Saccharomyces cerevisiae S288C: one gene and its partners. The gene in region 2 interacts genetically with the main gene of each other region. Each region holds a gene or a part of one and is shown on either strand. Other genes may lie near its edges.

Region 1 (5,213 bases), on a different chromosome or scaffold from region 2:
GAGCTCATTTGGCTGAATACTACTCTTTCTAAGCTGCTCACCCAACTGAAACTTATCCAGTTGAAATTGCAGAAGCTGTTTTCAACTACGGTGATTTCACCACCATGTTGACTGGTATTCCCGCCGACCAAGTTACCAGAGTTATCACTGGTGTTCCATGGTACTCCAGCAGATTAAAGCCAGCTATCTCTAGTGCTCTATCCGTAGACGGTATCTACACTATCGCAAACTAGAGTCCCTGCTTTACGAATGAAACCTGTACAGGTATGAGAGGTTACGAAAAAAAATGATAAATGAAAAAAAAAAAGCTTAATAATATGAAATTAATAGTATGAATAGTTAGGCGCATGTATATAAATATAAATTTTTGTATATATGTATTATTAATATTATAAATTTCTTATTATTAAACCATCCTTTACGGAAATAACGGCCTATTCCCTTAGTATTTTGTTGTAGCTCGTGGAGTTATCCATTTTAAATGGATCTTGGGATAATTTTTACTGCTTCCCTCGTACTGGGAGCTTAATACACGTTCGTCTTGTTATCATCATAAATATGTGTTTATTATTCTCGCCTGGAAGGAAATCTTCAGTATAAATTCGTGAGGAATTTAGAATATAAATAATTCAATCATAAGAAAACATAAAAAGATCAAGTAAATAATAGAGGCATACAAGCATAACCAAATAGTACTATAAACAATTTTAAATTACACGTAAGAGATAATGGGTTATAAAGTATGTTTTTTTAAGCCATTACTGCAGCGTTCTTTATCATTATTTGAGTTCGAATGTGGAAAATGACGACTGAAATTTATAAGATAAAATATTCGAACTATATAGAAGAAAATTTTACACTCTTCGCCTTTGAAAAACATGAGTGAATGTCCTTGATCGTTATTTGGCCTTCTGAAACTGTCCATATGGGTTATTTTGAGTTCCTTATAAAGGCTTGGCGCATTATCGAATATCGTTTAGTAAAATTTATGATCCACTTGCATCGGCATGGGCATGAGCAGTACTCATTACAAAATCCAAATCAGTGATATTTACAGTAGTCACAAATTACTGTTATTTTTTATCCATTTTTGTAGTTTTTGTACAAATATACTATTGGAAATAGAAAAAAATTCCTTTGAAAGGATCAATTTTAAGTGGTAAATAGAATGAACAAGCCCAGGACAATGGATTCAGAAGGGGCCTTATCGTGTCTCATAGATATTTTTCTTCTCGGTAACCTTTCAGTAATTTCTTGAGCACGAACTCGAAGCGTTTCATCAGGTATTTCATAACTATGCATGATTTTTGATGGCTTTGCATCATATTAGAAGAAAATTTTGCAGCTGAAGAGCTCTAATACGGCTTTTCTGTGGTCGTAAAGACAAGGCTGTTCATAACGCTTGTTGCCATTATGTAGCTTTGCACATCTCATATCGGTAAGGATGTCGTTTGTCATCTAGCGGCGAACTACTGTAATGTAATAATGTCCTCTGGCGTCGTGTATGGAAAAGAGGCATAATCAAAATTGGGCCTATCAACTCATTAGCACTCTATGCTATACTGTAGTGCTCTGTGCGGACTTTGCTGTGCCATTATAATCCTTTCCACCTTGCGATGGTCTTTCCGCTTTTCTTGCTGTTATTTTTGTATACGGGAGATCTGCCTCACAAAAGGTATATCTTCTACTTGGAGGCTCGAGGAAGGACAAAACACACATAAGCACTACCCATTTTCCTGGTAAGACTATACCATGAACAGTATGGCCGATACCGATAGAGTCAACTTGACTCCCATCCAGAGGGCATCTGAGAAATCCGTGCAATACCACTTGAAGCAGGTCATTGGGAGGGGTTCTTACGGGGTAGTTTACAAAGCCATTAATAAACATACTGACCAAGTCGTGGCAATAAAGGAGGTCGTGTACGAAAATGATGAGGAACTTAATGACATTATGGCAGAAATTAGCTTGTTAAAAAATTTAAACCATAACAATATTGTTAAATACCACGGCTTCATACGAAAAAGCTATGAATTGTATATCCTCCTCGAATACTGCGCTAATGGTTCTTTGAGGAGGCTCATTTCAAGGAGCTCTACCGGATTAAGTGAAAATGAATCGAAAACCTATGTGACACAGACACTATTGGGGCTGAAATATTTACACGGTGAAGGAGTCATCCACAGGGACATCAAGGCGGCTAACATCCTGCTGAGTGCTGATAACACTGTCAAACTTGCTGATTTTGGCGTTTCCACTATTGTGAACTCCAGCGCCTTAACGCTAGCGGGCACACTCAATTGGATGGCTCCAGAGATCCTGGGCAACAGGGGAGCTTCTACGCTCAGCGACATTTGGTCTCTAGGTGCCACTGTAGTTGAAATGCTCACAAAGAATCCACCCTACCACAATTTGACAGACGCCAATATCTACTACGCTGTTGAAAATGATACCTACTACCCACCTAGCTCTTTCTCTGAGCCACTAAAGGATTTCTTATCTAAATGCTTTGTGAAAAACATGTACAAGAGGCCGACAGCCGACCAGTTACTCAAGCATGTGTGGATCAACTCTACCGAAAATGTGAAGGTCGACAAGCTCAACAAGTTCAAGGAGGACTTTACCGACGCTGATTATCATTGGGATGCCGATTTTCAAGAAGAGAAACTAAATATATCACCCTCTAAATTCAGTCTTGCAGCGGCTCCCGCTGCCTGGGCAGAAAACAATCAAGAACTAGATTTAATGCCCCCCACTGAAAGTCAATTGCTGAGCCAATTGAAGAGTTCATCTAAGCCTTTGACGGACTTGCATGTGCTTTTCAGTGTTTGCTCCCTCGAGAACATCGCTGATACAATTATCGAGTGTCTGTCGCGCACAACTGTTGATAAACGATTAATAACTGCATTTGGCTCCATTTTTGTTTACGATACCCAGCATAACCACTCTAGGTTGCGACTGAAATTCATCGCTATGGGAGGAATTCCACTGATCATTAAATTCGAACATTTAGCCAAAGAGTTCGTCATCGACTACCCTCAGACTTTAATTGAATGTGGAATAATGTATCCTCCGAATTTTGCATCGCTGAAAACCCCAAAGTATATTTTAGAACTCGTCTATAGGTTCTACGATTTAACATCCACAGCCTTCTGGTGTCGCTGGTGTTTCAAACACCTCGATATATCACTCCTTCTGAATAACATCCATGAAAGAAGAGCCCAATCCATACTACTAAAGCTATCGTCATATGCACCATGGTCTTTTGAGAAAATTTTGCCCTCTTTAATTGACTCTAAGCTAAAAAAGAAAATTTTAATCAGTCCTCAAATTACTTACGTAGTCTTCAAATCAATAAACTATATGATAACCACGAATGACGATAAAATACACAAGTCCGCTATTCCTTCTTCTTCCTCTCTACCGTTATCCTCCTCACCCACGAGGAACTCACCAGTGAATTCGGTACAGTCTCCATCAAGGTCCCCTGTTCATTCTTTGATGGCAACGCGTCCCTCTTCTCCAATGCGACACAAGAGCATTTCAAACTTTCCCCATCTGACCATATCTTCAAAATCAAGACTACTAATTGAATTACCGGAGGGTTTCTTTACCTGGCTAACATCTTTTTTTGTTGACATGGCCCAAATCAAAGATTTATCTGTTTTAAAGTACTTCACCAAGCTTTGTTACCTTACAGTACATATAAACAGCACTTTTTTAAATGATCTGCTTGACAACGATGCTTTTTTTGCTTTTATCCGGAATATTGATACCATCATTCCCTTTATCGACGACGCAAAGACAGCAGCTTTCATTTGGAAACAAATCACTGCTATATGCGTTGAAATGAGTTTGGATATGGACCAAATGAGTGCTTCTTTATTTTCTACAGCTATGAATTTCATCAGAAAAAAGAATAACACCTCCATAAGTGGACTGGAGATCATACTGAACTGCTTGCATTTTACGTTACGCAATGTAAATGATGATGTGGCTCCTACAGTGGGCTCATCAGAGTCTCATAGTGTTTTCCTCATAAAGGTCAACAATGACGCTGCTATTGAATTACCGATTGATCAATTAGTTGACCTGTTTTATGCATTGAATGACGATGACGTTAACCTCAGTAAACTAATTAGCATTTTCACGAAGATATGCTCATTGCCCGGTTTTGAAAACCTTACAATTAATATCATATTTCACCCGAACTTTTATGAAAAGATTGTTTCTTTCTTTGATACCTATTTCAACAGTTTACTTATTCAAATCGATCTATTGAAATTCATAAAGCTAATATTCTCAAAATCGTTATTGAAGCTATATGACTACACAGGACAGCCGGATCCTATAAAGCAAACCGAACCAAATCGTCGTAATAAGGCCACTGTTTTCAAACTTCGTGCCATTTTAGTACAAATAACGGAGTTTTTAAACAACAACTGGAACAAGGATGTCCCAAAAAGGAATTCAAATCAAGTTGGGGGGGACTCAGTTTTGATCTGTCAGCTATGTGAGGATATCCGTTCATTATCAAAAAAAGGAAGCCTGCAAAAAGTTTCAAGCGTCACTGCAGCAATTGGTAGTTCTCCAACAAAAGATGAGCGTAGTAATTTGCGATCCTCCAAAGATAAAAGTGACGGCTTTTCCGTCCCCATTACAACATTTCAAACATAATGTAGGAATTGCATGTGCATACATACATATATAGAGAAATAATACAGCATTACATTAACACTATATATAGAATTGTGAACCTTCCAATACTGAAAACGCATCTGTTTGGAAAAGAGATCAGAAAAGTTTTTGAATTTAAAGAGGCCAGTAATGATAAAAAAGCATATACATATATATGCTTTTTTTCTTTTCTTTTTTTTTTCAATTGGGGATTAAATGTATGAACGACTCAAAGTGCATTTTGTTAAATGTTTCTAGCTATAGATCAATAAATCTGAAATACGATATCTGACATGATTGCAGTGGCACAGTCTTCCGATAGGTTACAGCCAAGTTTTTTTTTTAAGGTTTCTGAATTTTTTCATTACGTTTCCTAATTAGGTTAAACGTAAATAAAAGCGACTTTTCAAAAGAATATCAAATCATATAACATGAAAAGAGCAAGATTCACAATACTAATTTCAATGAGAGTGCTATTTGATAATTGAATCAATTCTCTGTGTGAGTATGCATAGACGACAGTTTTTCCAAGAATA
Region 2 (4,849 bases):
GAAACTTAGGTAAGGCCAAATTATATTCATGAAATTTTTGTTCCAAGGGAGGGGCTTCAGCTTCCTCAGGTGGAGGGAGTAGATTTGAAGTCTCGTCTAGTGTTTGCATTCTTCTTGTTCCCTCAACAACTAGGGCTCTGAGCTTAGTGAAGAACAAAGAGGAGACAAAAAACAAAATAATTCGATAGAAAAAAATCGCTGCTGTATTCTTATATTTTGGGAATGTGGGTTGGCCTAAAGTGGAACCGCATGCTCTTCTCTATCACCGGCCCTTAAGATGACCTACGTTTATTGTCGGACAGATATCATCCAACAAAACGACGCAGTGAAAAAGTGTATCATGCGAATACTGAAGATAAGATAGGCTAAGCCGTGGAATCAGCGATAAAAAAAAGATCGCGTGTATTAACCAATGACAGCCTCACAGAAGCGCTTTGATCATATATAGATATAGGTGCATTTATACACGTATATATATTTACATGTTTTCAGATTAGATTATATGGTAAATACGTGACAGTGTTCTACCGAAAAAGAAAGATGTCTGGCTTTCAATAAAATAAGCAAGATATGTAGAACAGTCTTCCTCCATTTCTTTGTATTGTGAAATATCAATCAGTTTGTAGATGGCTTAGGCTCATTACGTTTTTCGTTTTTTTCTTCTTCCTTCCTGATTTTTTCCGTTTCGTAATCGTTCAAGTACTTATCAAAAGCATCATTCCTTTCTGGGAAAGGGCGCTTACCAAGTAAATCAATCATATCTTCTCTTGTCAAAACTTCTTTTTTCAGTAGTACTTGAGCAATCTTCTCTACATCTTCTGCTTTTTCTTTAAGCAGCTTTGTACATCTGTCATGGCATTCTTGGACGATTCTGTATACTTCGGAATCAATAATGTCACCTGTCTCGTCCGAAAATGGTTTTGTCAAATCGCTATCATCTCTCTTCTGGTAATTGACCCAGCCAATTTTATCACTCATGCCTAATTCTGTGACCATTGCCGTGGCCATGCTAGTAACTTTTTTGAAGTCATCAGATGCGCCACTTGTAACTGATGGGAAATGTAATTCTTCAGAAACTCTTCCACCCAGAGACATGGTCATTCTGTCCTTAAGTTGCTGTTCAGTTAGTAAGAAGATATCACCTGGCAAATACTGTGCATAACCAAGGGCGCCCTGGCCACGTGGAATAATACTGACTTTCAGAAGAGGATCTGCGTATTTTAAGTACCATCCACATACAGCATGACCAGCCTCGTGGTAAGCCACTACTTTCTTCTCTTCGGGAGAGAGTAGCTTGGATTTGCGTTCCACTCCACCGATGACTCTTTCGATAGCTTGTTCAAAATGATTCAATTTTACTGCATCTTCATCACTTCTAGCAGCAATCAAGGCGGCCTCGTTACAAACGTTGGCAATATCAGCACCAGAAAAGCCTGGCGTCAAAGCCGCTAATCTATTTTTCAAATCAAAAATTTCCCCGGCAAGTTTCAAATGATGTAAATGAACAGCAAAAATGGCTTTTCTACCCTCAAGTTCGGGCTTGTCGATATTGATATGCCTGTCAAATCTACCAGGCCTTAATAATGCTTTATCGAGAATATCGGGTCTATTGGTACCAGCTAAAACAACAACGTGGTCAGCTGGAGTGAAACCATCCATTTCTACTAACATTTGATTTAGCGTGTTCTCTCTCTCATCATTGGCACCTGAAAAATTACCCTTTTGTCTTGCTTTTCCTATAGCATCAATTTCGTCAATAAACACAATTGAGGGTGCATTTTCTCTTGCAGTTTTGAACAAATCTCTTACTCTTGCTGCACCAACACCAACAAACATTTCTACAAATTCTGAACCAGAAACAAAATAAAACGGAACACCGGCTTCACCTGCTGTTGCCTTTGCAAGCAAAGTTTTACCGGTACCTGGTGGACCAGATAGAATCGCACCTCTAGGAATTTTAGCTCCCATTTTTTCATAACGAGAAGGTTCTTTCAAGAAGCTAACAAACTCCATAATTTCTTCCTTAGCCTCATCGCATCCGGCAACGTCCTTGAACTTGATCTTAACGTCTGTTTCAGTGTTAAATTTTTTAGCCTTAGAACGACTCAGACCAAATATGCCTCCACGGCTACCGCCCGCTGCTTGTGCCGATCTTCTTGTCAACCAAATAATACCTGCAATCATTAAAACAGTTGGCAAAATTTGGAACATAGCTTTAGCCCAATTGCCTTCTTGAACATATAGTACAGGTATTCTGAAATCCTTATCAATGTCCAGTTCGTCCTGTGCTTTCTGAAGTTTGTGTTCGAAGCTATCAATTGAACCAATTGTGAAATAATAGAAGTTGCGACCGTAATTGTCGGCTTGGTTTTTTCCGTTGTCATTTAACATCACTTTCACCATGGACTTGTTGACAACAATCAACTTCGCAACATAACCTTTTGCCAATAGTTTCTCTCTAAAATCCTGCCACGTTATCTCACTTTGCTCTTCCAAACTGTTGAGGAGATCCAATAAAAACGAAAGGAGGAAAAAAGTTAGTCCTATCTGGAATAAGTTAACATTTTTCGATACAGGATTACTAGGATCATTTAGAGGTGGTTTTGGGGGAGGAGGTGGTGGTGGCGGTGGAATATTTCTGCTATTGTTACCTTCAAAGTAGCCCTGCTCTTTTGTTCTGTTTGACTTGGCTTTTGAAGGACCATTTTCCTCCTCTTTTTCCTTTCTTTCTTCTTGAATTCTGTTAGATTCTTGTTTCAATACAGCATCTTCTAAACGCCTAATACTTTCATCAATTTTGCGTTTCTGTTCTTTCCAGTTAGCCGGTATAGTATTATTTTTAGTTTGTTCGATATATTTTTCTACTTGTTTTCTTATTGCTTCAACCTCTTCGTCTGTGGGAATTTCTTTGTTAAGTTTAGCGTCTTCGTTATTGTCCTCGTTCTTGTTACCGCTCTTATTCTCTTGCAGCCTATTGAGTAGCCGATATTGAGTATGTAAACTCTTGATATGGGTCAAGCCGTAATAGGACCGGAAGCGAACGGGCCTTCTAACTACCTTAGTAGCAATTCTTGACCAAGAAAGTAGCAACATTAGTACTCTTTCTAACTTTAAAGTTGCTTGCCAAGACTCTTGAGTGTGCTATATTGTATTCGTTGGCAGCTCAAAATCTTTCCTTTAAAACTATAGTGGCAAAAGTTAGAGATCGTTTTCACGAGAAAATGATGGGGAAAAATGGACCAAAAGACAAATGTATTCACAATGTGACACCAGATAGCTTGGTGATTAGTATATAGATCTTACAGGACACCGAATAATACCAGAAGGGACTTTCTTATTGAACGAACCGATATGTGCATGCGTTATCCTATAAAGAAATACGTCCGGATGGGATATTCAAACAAGACGCCGGACAAAATAATTCACACATATGGAGGATGTTACGTACATGAGCACAAGACGAACCGTACAAAGAGAAACATACATCATCACTCAGACGATAAGATCATAAATTAGCAGATGACACTTTAGTTTATTCTCTTTGGTAGGTTTTCTACAATCAGAATTATCTAACGGCGAACTTCTGTAGGCAGAGTTTTCGCATCGCCCAATGAGATAATGCACTTTCAAAAGACCACGCTGCACTTGCATCAAATTGGTTTACGAAAGAGCAAAGTCGAGGATTAGCACATTCCGTGTGCCCATACGTTACCATTTTTGACAAAGTTGGCAACATCAAGCGAGACATATCTACAAATATACGTATCAGAATTGTACCCGAAGTATTTCTGGTTATATTCGTTGCTAACCATTTTAACGTATTCAGCCTAGTAGCCTGCAAGAACTATTAATACAAATCGTGAAACAGAAGTTCTTTGAGTTAAAGTACAAAGACAGACAACAGCCCTCGGTGAACCTGTTGGTGTGTGTTTCCTGTATCACAAAACACAAGCGAGCAAAGAAATACGACGTTATAGCTTTTAATAATACGACGAGACAATGTTAGTGGCCGTAATAACTTTCCAACAAAAGTACTTTCCAAACTTTGCTGTTACCTCTGTGATTGTTTAGTACGAAAATTGTATCGCGCTGTCAACAGCAAGGGGCTGCAAGTATTACGTAAGGGTACACTCGAAGTAGGGATATATATTTAAAGTCCCATCGTGACGCTCATAATAGGATACTTTCCCTCCAAATAAAAATTCATTGAAGTTATATCATCGGTATTCATATATTATTGACTTAACAGCCATGTCTCCTATGAAAGTTGCGGTTGTCGGTGCCAGTGGTAAAGTTGGACGTTTATTGATAAACCAATTGAAGGCCAACGATAGTTTCTCAACACCATTAGCGATTGTTAGAACACAGGATCAAGTCAATTATTTCAAGAATGAAGTAGGTGTTGATGCTAGTTTGACAGATATAGAAAACGCGTCCGTTAGTGAGATCACAGACGCTATTAAGGCTTATGATGCCGTGGTCTTTAGCGCCGGTGCGGGTGGTAAAGGAATGGAAAGAATTTTCACGGTTGATCTGGATGGCTGTATCAAAGTTGTTGAAGCATGCGAAAAGGCTGGTATCAAAAGGTTCGTTGTTGTTTCAGCGCTCAAGGCGGAGGATAGAGATTTTTGGTATAACATTAAGGGTTTGCGTGAATACTATATTGCAAAGAGATCTGCTGATCGTGAGGTTAGAAACTCTAATTTGGATTACACTATTTTACAGCCTGGATCGTTGGAACTAAATAAAGGTACCGGTCTTTTGCAACCCCTTGACAAATTAGAAGAGAAGGCTTCTGTTAACTACTCCATTAACAGGGAGGATGTAGCTTCTTTTATTGTGGAAAGCT
Region 3 (2,815 bases), on a different chromosome or scaffold from region 2:
TTTTGACCAAAGAAAATCGCTTGTTGCTGTGCAGAATCTAATAAAGATGCTCAAGATAGCTTTTATTAGACCTTCATTTAGAAGTGGCAAAATCAAATGAATTGTTTTTTGTCCTTTGCTTCTTCCGCTTCATTTTCTCTTCAACAATTCAGGGTTACACTCAATCACGTGGGATACCATAATTTATCGTTCTACAAAAAAATGCAAGCACGAACTAGGGCGGTAGTTAGGAAGCGAATAAGAATAGCGCTTTTTCGTTTCAATTTGGAATATTAAAGAGTGATATTATTAATGGTTTTCTTTTTTGGAATGTGATCTATATACATATTTAAATAGTCTCTTTTGTATTTGTGGTGTCATAATGAAACTGCATCACACCAGATGCTTACCCATACAGAAAGTCGATTGATTATGAAACTTGAAGTAGCGAAGATTACGGCACTCGAAAATAAATAAAAAGAGGAAATAAAAGAGATAGAATACAACTTATCAAAAGTTCCAGATAGCCCGTACCTGTTTAAATCTTTTTACTTAAAGCATCCTTCCTCTTTAACTCCTGCTCATGAGCAAGCTGAAGCTTGTGTTGCTGTACAGCTGGTGAATCAGAATCCACTGAATGTGCTGGACATGGCAGCACAGAACCGATGGCCACTGATGCGAATGCAATGAGAAATGTAGAAAAGTATAGGTTATTGACTATTTTGTTTCTAGTGACTGCTCTCATGATATGTGTCTGAATTAAACTAATTGGCCTTCCGTGCCTGTAAATTCAATAAATAAATAGGATGTTAAATTTTCCTAATGTGTCTCGAGGTGCTTATGTTATCGTGCAAGCGCTGAGTTCGAAACGCTGTTTTGATGAATATCCTATATATATCAAAAGTACAAACACGGGGAAAGAGAGCCATCCCATCAAAAAAAATAAAAAAAGAAAACCCTTGCAGAAGGAGAACTGGTGTAGAGGTTTCCGGTCTTAATGGACTTAAGCACGTGACTTTTAAAACCCATGCATCGGTTACTATGGTTACCATTACTTACGATTTTTTTTTTTTCGTTATGAACCCTGTGCCCGAGGGGTTTTCAGGCACATAGATCAAAGTTCTACTCGTTTACCTGTAATCTTGGCGCGTTTAGGTCTCTTTTTTTTTCTTTTTTTTTTCTTCTTTTTTCATTTGTACTGCGTTATAGTTGTTTATGGAAGGTACCAATGGTGAATATGGAAAAAATGAAGTCAAATAGAAGAAGAAAGAGAAGCTAGCTTTGAGGTAGGTACTGTTTTGAGGGTTTTTGGGTGCTTCAAATTTGTCTTCTCAACTACCTTATTATAGGGCTCAAAAATAATTGACGTCATCGCTACAAGTCAGATGTCGATGTTAAGAATCTGGAGTTGCATCGTACATTTCTTTTCCGTGCAGGCACTTGATTCACGAATAAAGCCAGACATTGAATTCAAAAGGCGACAAAGGATATTTATCAATTCATCTAAAGAAGAGAATGGTTCATCTTCTAGTGCCGTTACTGTTACCCGTAACCCTGTGCTCAGCTCTAATAGCCCATCTCCTCCGCTATGGAATACATGGGAATTTAGACTATATTATTTGGCGTTCACCGTAGTAGTTCCTTTCATGATAAAGGCGGCATTGGCTACGAGCTCCGAGTCTAATCCAAACTACTATAAATTCAGCGGACTGCTAGCCCATGGTTGGATTCTGGGCCGCAAAGTGGATAACAGCGATCCTCAGTATAGGTTTTTTAGATCCAATTTTTTTTTGTTGGCCATCTTAATATTACTACAAATTATATTAAAAAAGGTTTTTGTTAAATTTAGTAAAATTCCGAAAACAAAATTCGATTTTGCGTGTGGATTAGTTTTTGTCTGTTTCATGTACGGGATCAATTCTGTTAAGCTCTTTACGCATGCTTTTATTTTCTTCACTTTGGCACATTCGCTAAAGAGAAAGCGTTTGATAGCCGCTTTTGCGATTTGGTCCTATGGTATCTTTACACTATTCATCAATCAAAAAATGAAAAATCTCCCCTTTAATAATATTGCTATCATCCTAAGTCCCATGGATCAATGGTATAAGGGTATCGTTCCTCGATGGGATTTTTTTTTCAATTTTACATTATTGCGTTTGTTAAGTTACTCCATGGATTTTTTGGAAAGATGGCATGAACAATTGAGCCGCCAACCTTCGATAGATTACGATGATAGACGACCTGAATTCAGAAAAAGTTTATCTGGTTCTACTCTACAAACCATTTATGAGTCAGGTAAGAATGTTCTGGAGGAAAAGGAACGACTGGTAGCAGAACATCACATCCAGGATTACAACTTTATCAATTTTATCGCTTATATTACTTACGCGCCATTGTTTTTAGTGGGCCCAATTATCACTTTTAATGACTACCTTTATCAATCAGAAAATAAGCTTCCTTCGCTAACGAAAAAAAACATAGGCTTCTATGCCCTCAAAGTATTTTCGAGTTTGCTTTTGATGGAAATTATCCTACATTATATCTATGTGGGTGCAATAGCAAGGACCAAGGCATGGAACAATGATACACCCTTGCAACAGGCTATGATCGCGCTGTTCAACTTGAACATTATGTATTTAAAACTTTTGATCCCATGGAGGCTCTTTCGGCTGTGGGCCATGGTCGATGGTATTGATGCACCTGAAAATATGCTACGATGTGTGGATAATAATTATAGTACAGTGGGATTCTGGAGAGCCTGGCATACAAGTTTTAACAAGTGGGTAATCCGTTACATCTATGTTCCATTTGGCGGGTCCAATAACAAAATATTAAC

Evidence for each region.
Region 1: mutations in YTA12 (region 2) and CDC15 are lethal when combined (synthetic lethality), as found in Saccharomyces cerevisiae (one study listed by BioGRID).
Region 3: of YTA12 (region 2) and COA2, a mutation in one rescues a mutant of the other (synthetic rescue), as found in Saccharomyces cerevisiae (2 studies listed by BioGRID).

Annotation. Positions count from the first base shown.
Region 1 is NC_001133.9:171,675-176,887, reverse strand, and holds CDC15 (serine/threonine protein kinase CDC15), read left to right. Parts: upstream 1-1,752; coding exon 1,753-4,677; downstream 4,678-5,213. Other genes in the region: seripauperin PAU7, read left to right, coding at 1-32; serine/threonine protein kinase KIN3, read left to right, coding at 5,185-5,213. UniProt on the Saccharomyces cerevisiae protein: Protein kinase of the mitotic exit network (MEN) essential for late nuclear division in the mitotic cycle. Promotes mitotic exit by phosphorylating DBF2 and directly switching on DBF2 kinase activity.
Region 2 is NC_001145.3:444,994-449,842, forward strand, and holds YTA12 (m-AAA protease subunit YTA12), read right to left. Parts: upstream 3,094-4,849; coding exon 616-3,093; downstream 1-615. Other genes in the region: VBA1 (Vba1p), read right to left, coding at 1-109; YMR090W (uncharacterized protein), read left to right, coding at 4,252-4,849.
Region 3 is NC_001148.4:187,790-190,604, forward strand, and holds COA2 (Coa2p), read right to left. Parts: upstream 725-2,815; coding exon 518-724; downstream 1-517. Other genes in the region: GUP2 (putative O-acyltransferase), read left to right, coding at 1,365-2,815. UniProt on the Saccharomyces cerevisiae protein: Required for efficient assembly of cytochrome c oxidase in the mitochondrial inner membrane. Seems to be involved in the SHY1-mediated step of cytochrome c oxidase maturation.